Linked DNA regions of Oryctolagus cuniculus. The protein of the gene in region 1 interacts with the protein of each later gene in a pairwise test. Links are inferred from orthologs where the notes say so. Each region holds a gene or a part of one and is shown in the gene's direction. Other genes may lie near its edges. The genes, in order: SH3YL1, GFAP and SH3D19.

Evidence for each region.
Region 2: the proteins of SH3YL1 (region 1) and GFAP interact in binary tests that used the Homo sapiens proteins (3 or more experiments, as listed by UniProt). The two-hybrid records come from large-scale screens. The link is inferred for Oryctolagus cuniculus from reciprocal best matches to the Homo sapiens genes SH3YL1 and GFAP.
Region 3: the proteins of SH3YL1 (region 1) and SH3D19 interact in binary tests that used the Homo sapiens proteins (3 or more experiments, as listed by UniProt). The link is inferred for Oryctolagus cuniculus from reciprocal best matches to the Homo sapiens genes SH3YL1 and SH3D19.

The regions. Positions count from the first base shown.
Region 1 is NC_091433.1:199,902,271-199,905,914, forward strand, and holds part of SH3YL1 (SH3 domain-containing YSC84-like protein 1), read left to right. Parts: intron 1-1,847; coding exon 1,848-1,958; intron 1,959-3,644.
Region 2 is NC_091448.1:18,168,065-18,172,200, reverse strand, and holds the start of GFAP (glial fibrillary acidic protein), read left to right. Parts: upstream 1-1,248; 5' UTR 1,249-1,269; coding exon 1,270-1,730; intron 1,731-2,585; coding exon 2,586-2,646; intron 2,647-2,854; coding exon 2,855-2,950; intron 2,951-3,521; coding exon 3,522-3,683; intron 3,684-4,136.
Region 3 is NC_091439.1:13,490,898-13,494,541, forward strand, and holds part of SH3D19 (SH3 domain-containing protein 19), read left to right. Parts: intron 1-1,417; coding exon 1,418-1,604; intron 1,605-1,996; coding exon 1,997-2,094; intron 2,095-3,644. UniProt on the Homo sapiens protein: May play a role in regulating A disintegrin and metalloproteases (ADAMs) in the signaling of EGFR-ligand shedding. May be involved in suppression of Ras-induced cellular transformation and Ras-mediated activation of ELK1.

The DNA.
Region 1 (3,644 bases):
AGGCAGAGGATTAGCCTAGTGAGCCGCGGCGCCGGCCCAATGCACGTTTTTAAATGAGCAAAAGCTTGAACACATGCTTAGAACAAAATACAGAGGTAAGCACCAGGAAGGGTGTTTCCCTCCTCGCCCAGGAGATGAGAATGAAATCCACCCTGAGTTGCCACCACGGCAGAAACTGGCGTGGAAAGCCTGGCCTTGCAGAGAGCTGGCAAGGATGTGGAGTAACCAGATCTCCCAGAAGTTCTGGTTGGCCTGTGATAGGCAGTCACTTCAGGTAGCTCCTGGTGGCTTTTGATACCAGTGCACTTACACGTCCAGGAACCAGCCATCCTAGCCTGGAGACCTCCCCCGGAGACAAAACAGTGATGCACAGAAGATTTTATGGGAATGTTTGCAGAATTTCTTCACGATAGCCAAAAACTAGAAGCTGCCAGTTGTCCATCGGGTGGCTCAGCTCACCCTGTGTGTGGAGGACGCTCAGCACAGGCACAGCAAGCCGGATGGAGAAGAATCAGTTTCCTTGTATTCCTGTGAAATCCTGGCACAGACAAAACCAACACAGGTGACAGACACCAGATCCATAGCTGGTGAGGCCGGGGTGGCTGCACAGGGGCCCAAAAGAAACAGTTTTGCTGGGGGAGGGGCCTGTGTCAGGTACTTGTCCCAGCTTGTGGGGTGTGCACTGCGTGAAACAGGTGAATTGCATTTTGTAAATTATGTCTCGTGAAGTTGATCATAAAAGTCTACCCTGAGAGCCAATATTTTAACTTCCCTGAAAGAAAGTTGAGTAAAATCTGTGAAGTGCCAATACACTAGTGGTGTAACCTAGACAGGAAAGGAACACTGTGTACTCTGCAGGCACCCGGCATTTGTGCAAATGAGCGCCTGTGCCCTGGCCAGCACCCTCGCGGATTTGTGGGATCCATTCTCTGGGGGCCTGAGTCCTGCCGATGCTCCCGTGTTGAACCACAGAGAATTGATGCAGAATTCTTCTTTTTAAAAAACCACACAATTCCAATATGACCCTTGTCCAGTTTCTACTTTTAAAATAAATCACCTATTTCAAACATAGCAAGCTCCAAAATGCATCATGTTTTCCTGTTAGAAATCCCATTCTTTCCTGTGTGCTGCAGTTGTTCAGGCTTCTCAGCCCAACTTCCTTCAGCACCTGCCCAGGTGACACTTCCCGTCCGGAGGCCTGCGTGCTCCTCTGACTGCAGACCTGAGCCGGGGCTCCTCTGACCCCCTGTCCAGTGTGCCTCAGAGCTGCCAGCCTTGTGCCAGCCTTGTGCCAGCATCGCACTGAGGTGATTCAGCGTAGGTGGGCAGCACTGGGAATGCACACTGCCCCCGGACTGCAGGCGGCCGTTACTTGCAGTAAACGATGCCTGAGTGCGCTAAGCAGGTGACCTGCAGCCAGTCCAAACACGTGCAATGAGAGTAAGCAGCCATATTGAACCCTGTTTTATCTGTAATAGATAACTGTAAAAAAGCATCTTCTGTTACGTTTAAAGCTTTAATCTTTTTAACTTGCTCTTCAGGTGAATTAATGACAGGGAGAAGAAAGACTGGGGCAGTTGTGTCAGATTTTGTTTAAAATCTTTCACAATCCCAGGATTTTGTGACTTCTGAGATTTCTAAGACTTTAGGGTTTCTGAGCCTCAGAATAGATTTGGAAAGTAGGGGTGAAATTGTCAGTAGCTGAGGACTTTCTAGTTCATTTCCTTTACTTGGTAAAATACAATTTGTTAGTGATTATTATGTGTGAGAAAATATAGTTACAATAAATTTCTAACTTCTGCTTAGTGGATTTTTTATTAAAATGTGTTTTTTTTTTCATCTTTCAGTGAATAATCCCATTCCTTCCAATTTGAAATCAGAAGCAAAGAAGGCTGCTAAAATACTAAGAGAATTCACAGAAATAACTTCCAGAAATGGACCCGATAAGATCATTCCTGGTAGGTAAATTTCCGAGCGTGTCTGGATTTCTGAATCGCTCCCTTCCTTCCCTCAGCCTCACTCCTAGCTGGCAGCTGACCCCAGGGACAGCAGGGGTTCCCAGAGGCCTCTTCTCTCTCCTGGGGTGGGGCAGCTGGGACTCGCCCCTCCACCCGGACCCCCATTCCTGCTTCACCTTGGCCTCCCTGCGGAGAGCTTTACAAGCAAATCTTCAACCTCGCCAGCTCGTCTCATACATAAGTGTTCATTTTTGTTTTCTCCTTCCAAGTAAGATATTTACATTTCTACAGTGGTTTAGAGGAGATTAGTCAAGAATTCCCAGCACAGCTGCACCTCTGAAATCTTCAGGTCCTTAGAACACAGTCCCAGAACCCATTCCAAACCTGAGGGTGGGACTCAGAGCCCTGTGACCAGGGATGCAAGTTGTAACCAGGTGCTCCAGTGCTGGTGACAGCGGGGTGGTCCACACAGCCTGGCCTTGGGTGCTGGTGACAGCGGGGCTGGTCCACACAGCCTGGCCTTGGGTGCTGGTGACAGCAGGGTGGTCCACACAGCCTGGCCTTGGGTGCTGGTGACCAGCGGGGTGGTCCACACAGCCTGGCCTTGGGTGCTGGTGACAGCGGGGTGGTCCACACAGCCTGGCCTTGGGTGCTGGTGACAGCGGGGTGGTCCACACAGCCTGGCCTTGGGTGCTGGTGACAGCGGGGTGGTCCACACAGCCTGGCCTTGGGTGCTGGTGACAGCGGGGTGGTCCACACAGCCTGGCCTTGGGTGCTGGTGACCAGCGGGGTGGTCCACACAGCCTGGCCTTGGGTGCTGGTGACAGCGAGGTGGTCCACACAGCCTGGCCTTGGGTGCTGGTGACCAGCAGGGTGGTCCACACAGCCTGGTCTTGGGTGCTGGTGACCAGCAGGGTAGTCCACACAGCCTGGCCTTGGGTGCTGGTGACCAGCAGGGTAGTCCACACAGCCTGGCCCAGAGTGCGGCTTTGGAACTGCCTCTGCAGGCCGTGTTTCATAGAGTGCACCTCTCATGCAGATTACCTTGGGCAGTGTCACGGGCTAATTTCCCTCTTGGGTAATCACAGTGCGTGACTTAAAGAGATCTCTTAAGTTGTCCCGGTCGGGATCTCTGAAGTTGTTTTTCAGAGCTTCACAAGATCTTAATGCTTTGTGGACGCCCGGGTCTGAGTTGCAGTGACGAGAGCAGCAGCTATGGTTCCGTGGGCCCAGCCAGCTCCCCCGTCTGAGCAGCGCTTCCTGGGGCTTCTGCTCCAGTGCAGGGGGCGCCTCCCTGGCAGCCTCTGCCTTTCCCTCAGGGTCCCCGTGAGCCGCACGCACCCAGCACTTGAGAGGCACAGATTTGGAGCCTGAAGAAAATTCAGCCAGAATTTAGCAGTTTTCTGAAACAGGGATTAGTGCGTCAGGAACCGTCTGCATGTTGGCCTTGCAGCCTCAGACACGTGCTGTTTTGTAACATGAGAAAATGGCTGCACTCGTGGATTTTGTGGAGCCAAATTCTACTTTGCCTTCCTGTGCCCAGCAAAGGCCCCTGCACTCCCTTCCGGGGCTCACACCTCACAGTCTGGGGCACAGGATGGGGGCGGGAGCCCCAGGGCTGCCAGGTCGGGGAGGGGCCTCACGTACAGTACACTGCAGGAGATGGACGGGTGACAGCAGACCACA
Region 2 (4,136 bases), on another chromosome or scaffold:
GTGCTGAGGGCTGCGGGGGTGGGGGGGCAGCCAGGCTTTTCTGCAAGTGGGGCCTTTCCTCCCTGCCCGCTGAGTGACTCACCTTGGCACAGACACAATGGTCAGGGCGGGCACCCGGCCTGCACCCCGCTGCACCCCAAGTCCCCGCAGATGCTTTCCGAGAAGTGCATTGAGAAGGGGCTGTGCTGCACCCCCCCCCGCCCCGGCCTGACAGCCTGGCATCGTGGGATAAAAGCAGCACAGCCCCCTGGGGGCCGCCCTTGCCGTGCAGCGCCCTCCCCGGCGCCAGAGAACAAGGCTCTGTTCAGCAAGTGCCCGGAAGACGGGCCAGAGGGGCAGGGGTGGCGGGGAGGCTGCAGGGGGGAGTCTGCTTCCCAGAAGTCCCAGGACACAGACGACGAGGGGCCTGGCGGGCTCCGGCCCTGTGCGAGCAGAGTGGAGGGGTGAATGGACCTGAAGCTCAAGGACAGCGGGGTCCTGGCCCCAGCCCCTTGCCCCCCTGCATGCCCCAGTGGCTTCTGGGTCCCCAGAGCCACCCAGCCTGGGATGCCTTTTCCGTCTTCTCTGCCTGAAGCTTCGGAACGCAAAGGAGATTAATCTCGAGTGGGAGAGTGAGGGCCGCCAGGGAAACAGAAACAGAGCTTCCCACGGGCCAGCCAGCTCATTCGTAACTGCTTTGTAGAGCTGTCTGGGAGGCCAGGGGAGGCGGGCGAGACCGCGGGAAAGGGGCTGCCCATCTGCCCCAGCCAGCCCGCCACACTCCCTCACTCCCTCGCTCGTCCCCTGCTCCATGAGACACTGCAGACAAAGAGCCGGGGGTGGGGGGGGCCAAGCCTGCAGGCCGATCCCAGGAAGAGGGAGAAGGCTGGACCATGGGGTGGCCGTGTTCAGATGGGGGATGCCAGGTGCGTGCTGGGGCTGGGGCTTTTCCTGGCCTGCACGGCCCGTCTGTGCTTCATTAAATTTAAGGCAGGCCCTCTAGGATGGAGGCCTGGGTGAGCGCTCAGAGCTCTGGAAAGCAGGTCCTGCCCCTTCCTAACCCACCTTCCCAGAGAAAGGGTCTCCCCGCTCAGAAGTCAGGGCTTCAGGCCCAGGCAGCACAGCCCCGGCCAGGAAGCAGCGCCCTCACCCTCGGTGGGGAGAGAGGAGCGCATCCCATGGCTGGGCTGCAGCCCAGCCCCACCCTCTCAGGCTATGCCAGGGGGCGTTGCCCCTCCAGCCAAGGCTCCATAAAGCCTGCAGCCCAGGAGTCGGCAGAGCTGGGCCAGGATGGAGCGGAGACGCATCGCCTCTGTTGCTCGCCGCTCTTACACCTCCTCTGCCGAGATGGTGCTGGGGGGCTCAGCGCCCGGGCGCCGCCTGGGGCCCGGCGCCCGCCTCTCCCTGGCCCGAACATCTGTTCCACTCCCGGCCCGGGTGGACTTCTCGCTGGCCGGCGCACTCAATGCCGGCTTCAAGGAGACCCGGGCCAGTGAGCGAGCCGAGATGATGGAGCTCAATGACCGCTTTGCCAGCTACATCGAGAAGGTTCGCTTCCTGGAGCAGCAAAACAAGGCGCTGGCCGCCGAGCTCAACCAGCTGCGGGCCAAGGAGCCCACCAAGCTGGCCGACGTCTACCAGGCTGAGCTGCGGGAGCTGCGGCTGCGGCTCGACCAGCTCACGGCCAGCAGCACCCGGCTGGAGGTGGAGAGGGACAATCTGGCGCAGGACCTGGGCACCCTGAGGCAGAAGTGAGGACTGGGCACAGGGACCGGGCCCGCAGGCGGGGAGGGAACGGCTGCTGCCTGCAGAGTCCAGGACAATGGGGCTCTGCCCCACTGCTCCCTCAATTCCCCTCCCTTTGCTCTCCAGCCCGATGGGAGGGTCTCAGGGACCCTCAGCACCTCCCCACTGGGGAAGCCGAGCCAGCAGCCAGGGGCCCGGACTGTGTGGTTCCTTCACTGGGCCTTGGGACCACAGTTGTGGAGCTCATCTATTCTAACCCCCCCCGGGGGGGGGTCTCTCTAAAGAAGGAACTGGAAGAGAAGCTGGGGTCCCTGCGGAGGATTGGGTCTGGGGGACAGGAAAGAGTGGGCAGGCCTAGGTGCCAAGCACAGGTGACTGCCCTGGCCCGGGCTAGTGACCCCAGTGGAGTTGCTCTGCCCCCCCCCCCCCCCCGCAGCTGGGAAGCAGAGAGCATCAGAAAACCCATTTGCAAAGGCAGTTCCCCGGGCTCGGAGGAAACCCCAGGGCCAGGGGCACGGGCCTTGCTGAGCCAGCAGGGCAGGTGTGCCCTCGAGGGCAGGGCGATGCATGTGTTTGCCCATGCGGAGCAGGTAGACGCTCGTGGACGCGCCTGTGTGAGCAGGAGCAGGTGCAGCGACCCTGGCAAGGCACTTGAGTAATGAGTTAAAGCCAAAGCCCTTGGCTGCTCACCCTCCGGGCCAAGGCCTCTGCAAAGGCCGTGGGTGGCCCTTCCTCCTCCTGTCACTCTGGGGCTGGGAGGGGTGTCTCTGAGCCAGTCACCCCAGGGAGGTTGGGGCAGGGGTCCAAGAGTCCTCTGAAGAGCCTGGACCCAGGAATTGTCTCCCCCACCCCCACCCCAGGCTCCAGGATGAGACTGAGCTGAGGATGGAGGCTGAAAACAACCTGACCACCTACAGACAGGTCAGAGGGGGGAGGGGAGGCGAGGGGAGGGGCATCAGAGGGGGAGGGGAGGGGCGGGGCAGCCCATCCAAAACACAGCCCCCAGCCCAGCCCAGCCCCCAGAACCATGTGCTGTTCCCCCATCCCAGGAGGAGGGGCGAGGCAAAGCCGGGCAATAGGGAAGAGGAGTCTGGGGTCAGAGTGGCCCTTTGCCCCCTCCACTCTCCAGGAGGCGGATGAAGCCACCCTGGCCCGCCTGGATCTGGAGAGGAAGATTGAGTCCCTGGAGGAGGAGATCCAGTTCCTGAGGAAGGTCCACGAGGAGGTGAGGACGGGCGGCGGGGGAGTGAGGACGGGCGGTGGGAGGGGTCCAACATGGGCCTGCGGCTGGGAGACAGACAGAGGAGGAGGGAAGCAGTTGTAAAAAAGCAGGAGTAAGCGCGAGAGAGCGCTCGACGCCAGCCTCTGTACACGGCCGCACTCCCTTTCTGAGAACAGGCCCGCACAGCCCCACGACACAGGGCCCTTCCAGAACCATCTACTTTTCACCGAGCACAGTGGGACCCAAGGGGCTAAAGAACATGCCAGGGTCACACGGTCAGTCCCTCTGCCTCTGTCTCCGGGAGAATGAGAGCCATCATGTATTTAAAGAAAAAAAAAATCCCTCTGCACGCTGACCTCAGAGCCGCGCATCAGAATCCTTGGCCCCAGGGGACCTGGCGACCCTCAGGGACATCCCTAGCCTCAGCTGGGCCACCTCCTCCCACAAGGGCTGCCCGGTTTCCCCTGGCCAACACCCACGGCTGAGAGACAGGCAGAAGCGGGTGCGATGCTGTGCAGAACCCCAGCCGCAGCCCGGGCGCTGAGCCGGGGACCCCTTCTCTCCCCCTGGCCAGGAGGTGCGGGAACTCCAGGAGCAGCTGGCCCAACAGCAGGTGCACGTGGAGCTGGATGTGGCCAAGCCCGACCTCACAGCAGCCCTGAGAGAGATCCGCACGCAGTACGAGGCAGTGGCGTCCAGCAACATGCACGAGGCCGAGGAGTGGTACCGCTCCAAGGTAGCCGGAAGCCGGCTTGCCTCCTCCAGGCAGCCCTCCTTGTTCTGTTCAAGAGAATGAAGCAAGGAGGGTAGAGGAATCTGGGTGGATGTGCCCTCTGGGTGACTGGCCTTCATCAGAGAAGCGAGATAACTTGCCTAGGGTGACACGGGCACAATTACTCCAAAAGTACTCACGTTATTATTGCTGCTGTTACTACTGTCAGCCAACATTGGGGCATGCCAGGCCACTCAGGAGCTGCATTCTCCTGCCAGTGTCCCGAGTTCCTGAGCATTCACCGCAATGCCAGGAGCCTCCTGGGGTACACAGAGGAGCCTGGCGGGGAGATGGGATGTGGACCCAAATATGACCCCACAGAGACCACAGCGCAGTGTTTCGAGGCAGTGTGGGACCCGGGAGAGATGTCATGGCGAAGTGGCATTGGGGCATTCGGGACAAGCAGACCATGGATGA
Region 3 (3,644 bases), on another chromosome or scaffold:
TAGGTAGAAGCACCTGGATCCTGGCTTCGGATTGGTGCAGCGCTGGCCGCAGCGGCCATTTGGAGGGTGAATCAATGGAAGGAAGACCTTTCTCTGTCTCTCTCACTGTATAACTCTGTCAAATAATAATAATAAAAAAAAGACTTTCGGGCCAGCGCTGTGGCATAGTAAGTAAAATCGCCACCTGCAGCAGTGCCGGCATCCCATATGGGCACCAGTTCAAGTCCCAACCGCTCCACTTCCAAACCAGCTCTCTGCTATGGCCTAGGAAAGCAGTGGTAGATGGCCCAAGTCATTGGGCCCCTTCACCTGTGTGAAACCCAGAGGAAGCTCCTGGCTCCTGGCTTCGGATCGGCGTGGCTCTGGCCATTGCGGCCATCTGGGGAGTGAACCAGTGGGTGGAAGACCTCTCTCTCTCTCTCTCTGCCTCACCTTCTCTCTCTGTGTAACTCTGACTTTCAAATAAATAAATCTTAAAAAAAAAAAAAAAAGAAGAAGAAGCCTTCAGGATTTGAAATCTTATGACCCCTCACCTTTTTTTTCCTACCATTTTTTAAAAGGTTTTATTTATGTATTTATTTATTTGAAAGACAGTTGAGAGAGAGAGAGGGGTAGAGACAGAGAGAGAAGTCTTCCATCTGTTATGACCCCTTACCTTTTTTTTCCCACCATTTTTTAAAAGATTTTATTTATTTATTTATTTATTTGAAAGACAGAGTTAGAGAGAGAGAAAGGTAGAGACAGAGAGAGAGATCTTCCATCCATTGGTTCACTCCTCAGATGGTCACAACGGCCAGATCTGCACCGATCCAAAGCCAGAAGCTTCTTATGGGTCTCCCATGTAGGTACAGGGGCCCAAGGACTTGGGCCATCTTCCACTGTTTTCCCAGGCCATAGCAGAGAGCTGGATCAGAAGTGAAGCAGCCGCATCTTGAACCAGCGCCCATATTGGATGCCAGCACTGCAGGAGGCAGCTTTACCCGCTATGCCACTGCACCTGCCCCCCACCCACCCACATTAGACCTTGTAGGACTCAATTTTTTTTGTTGTTTTGTTTTTTTGTTTTGTTTTGTTTTGTTTTGTTTTGTTTTGTTTTGTTTTTTGAAGAGGGATACAAACAGAGCCCTCATCCACTAGTTCATTTCCTAGATGCCCACAACATTTGGGACTGGACCAGGCCAAAACCAGAAGCTGAGAATTCAGTCCAAACCTCCTGTGTGGGTGGCAGGAACCCAGTTACTGCAGACATCGCTGCCGCCGACCAGGGTTGTGTGCTGGCAGGAAGCTGGAGTCAGGTGCAGAGCTGGAACTGGAATCCAGGCCCTCCAGTGTGGGATTCTTTCGTCCTAAGATTCGTTTCTTCCCAAATGCCTGTCCCAGAGCTCACATTTCTTACCAGACCTGTGCTTTGTACCAGGGCGACAGTCTCTCTGGAGAATGGTGTGAAGCTCTGCACAGCTTTACCGCGGAGACCAGTGAGGACTTATCTTTCAAAAGGGGAGACCGGATCCTGCTCCTGCAGCGTCTGGACTCCGACTGGTACCGGGGCAGACTGCATGACAGAGAGGGCATCTTCCCAGCAGCCTTTGTGCGGCCTTGCCCAGGTATGACAGCTACACGACGCGGCTCTTACTCTAAAACAGCAGCCAGGGTGTTTGAAACTCATACATTCCTGTCTCTGGCTGTGCTAGTGTGTCTGTTGTTCTAAGAATTGGCTCATAAAGTTGTGCAGAGTTCATTCATATACTCCTTTGTTGGAGGTGTGGAAAAATATTGAAATGCCTTCACTAAACAGTGGCTAACTGTGTCTGTTAAATATATTTTGTATAATTTTTTTCCAACAAAGAGAGCATCCTTCACTTTTTTGCATGTTAAATAAATTCAAAATTAAATCAAAATATCATATTCCAAGAGTGACAAGAGAGGTTTGTAAAATGTTTGGTTTTTGTTTAATCTGTTGTGTCTCTGTATATTTGAATTTTTGGTGTCTTCACAGCTGAGGCAAAAAGTACGTCTGCTAAAGCACTGAAGGGGAGGAAGGCCAAAGCCTTGTATGATTTCCATGGAGAGAATGAAGATGAGCTCACCTTCAAGGTCAGAGCTTGAATCTTTATGTAACCATATTAAGCACTGTAAACTTGGAAATGTCTTTAATTGAAGGGTAGGGCATTGCAGTGGAATATTGATCATTACCTAAGAATAAAGATATCTCAGCCCTGCATTTTAAGGGAAGAGATGAAAGAAAATGAATAGGGTATATAAGGTTGATAATGCACATTATCAACTGGGCTTTAAGATACTTGAAGAAGACCTTGGCTTCAGAACCCACAACCCCAAGGTAATTCCTTGCTCCTTGGCCTTAAAATGTCAGCTCTTATTTACATGAACATGTTTGTGTGGTAGCCCTAGTAAGGATGGCCCTCAGAGCCTCTAACTTGTCTTTGAAATCAGTGGAGAAATCAAATGGCATCTGATAACCATCTGCCGCTGTAGTCTTAAGCAGCCTACACCGGATTGCTAAGGCAATCTTTAGAGATTGTAAAGGCCCTGACCAGAGCTTTGGGGAAATGGTCCCAACCAATTGAGCTGCTTTGCAAAGGTTTTCATTGTTTTATTAAAGAAGCCTAAAATTTAACGTTAATCTTACTTCACCAAGGTACCTCTTATTTTTTCTTAAAGCAGTAATAGAGTATTCTTATGATTCTGTTTCCCAGTCCATAGTCGGCCTGTAGTCAGAAAAAAGCACGTAGGGTAGTACTTTGAGATTGTGCTAGAGGAAGAGAAAGGGTGGTTTTCGTAATTACTGCTGTGAGTATAGCCTGTGTTACACCTTGGTAAATTCTCCATCAATGAAGATATTCAGTCCTAGGCAAGTATGATGTAGAAAGAACAAAAGCACCAGAGGTGGGGCAGGCATTTGATCTAAAGGTTAAGACACCCACATCTTGTACCAGAGAGCTTAGGTTCAAGTCCCAGCTCTGCTCCTGCCAATCTGAGTGTCCTGCTAATGTGAACCATGGAAGAGAGTAGTGATAGCTCAAGTAGTTGAGAGCAGGATCCAGTTTCCTGGCTTCTGTCCAGCACAGCCCTGCGTGTATGCAGAGTAAACCAGCAGATGGGAGCTCACTCTCTGTCTCTGTGTTTCTCTGTGTATGTCTCTCTGCCTCCCAAATAAATGAATAAAATTTTTTTAAAAAAATCTTAAGAGTGCTTGGACAAGATAAGACTTAAAATAGAACTAACAAGATTCTTACTTGGCTGTAAAAAAAAAAAAAAGAAAAGAAAACACGGAGGTACTGGGTAGGTGCAGGCTTTTGAGGGAGTCAGAGGAGGCTTACTGAGATAGGTCAGCGTACGATGTTCCTGTTCTATGATGGAGTTTCCCTTTATTGTGACAATATTCTTTTAGTTTTTATACTAAAATGTCATTTCTATTATAAAGTACTATAATGATTGTATAATACTGTTATAAATACATTTCCTATGCTCTGTACCAAATGAAAAGCTATTAGTAGATTCTTCAAAAAATTTTTCTAATGTCTTATTCCTTAAAACCTATAAGTTTGGGGCTGGCGCCGCAGCTCACTATGCTAATCCTCCGCCTTGCGGCGCCGGCACACCGGGTTCTAGTCCCGGTCGGGGCG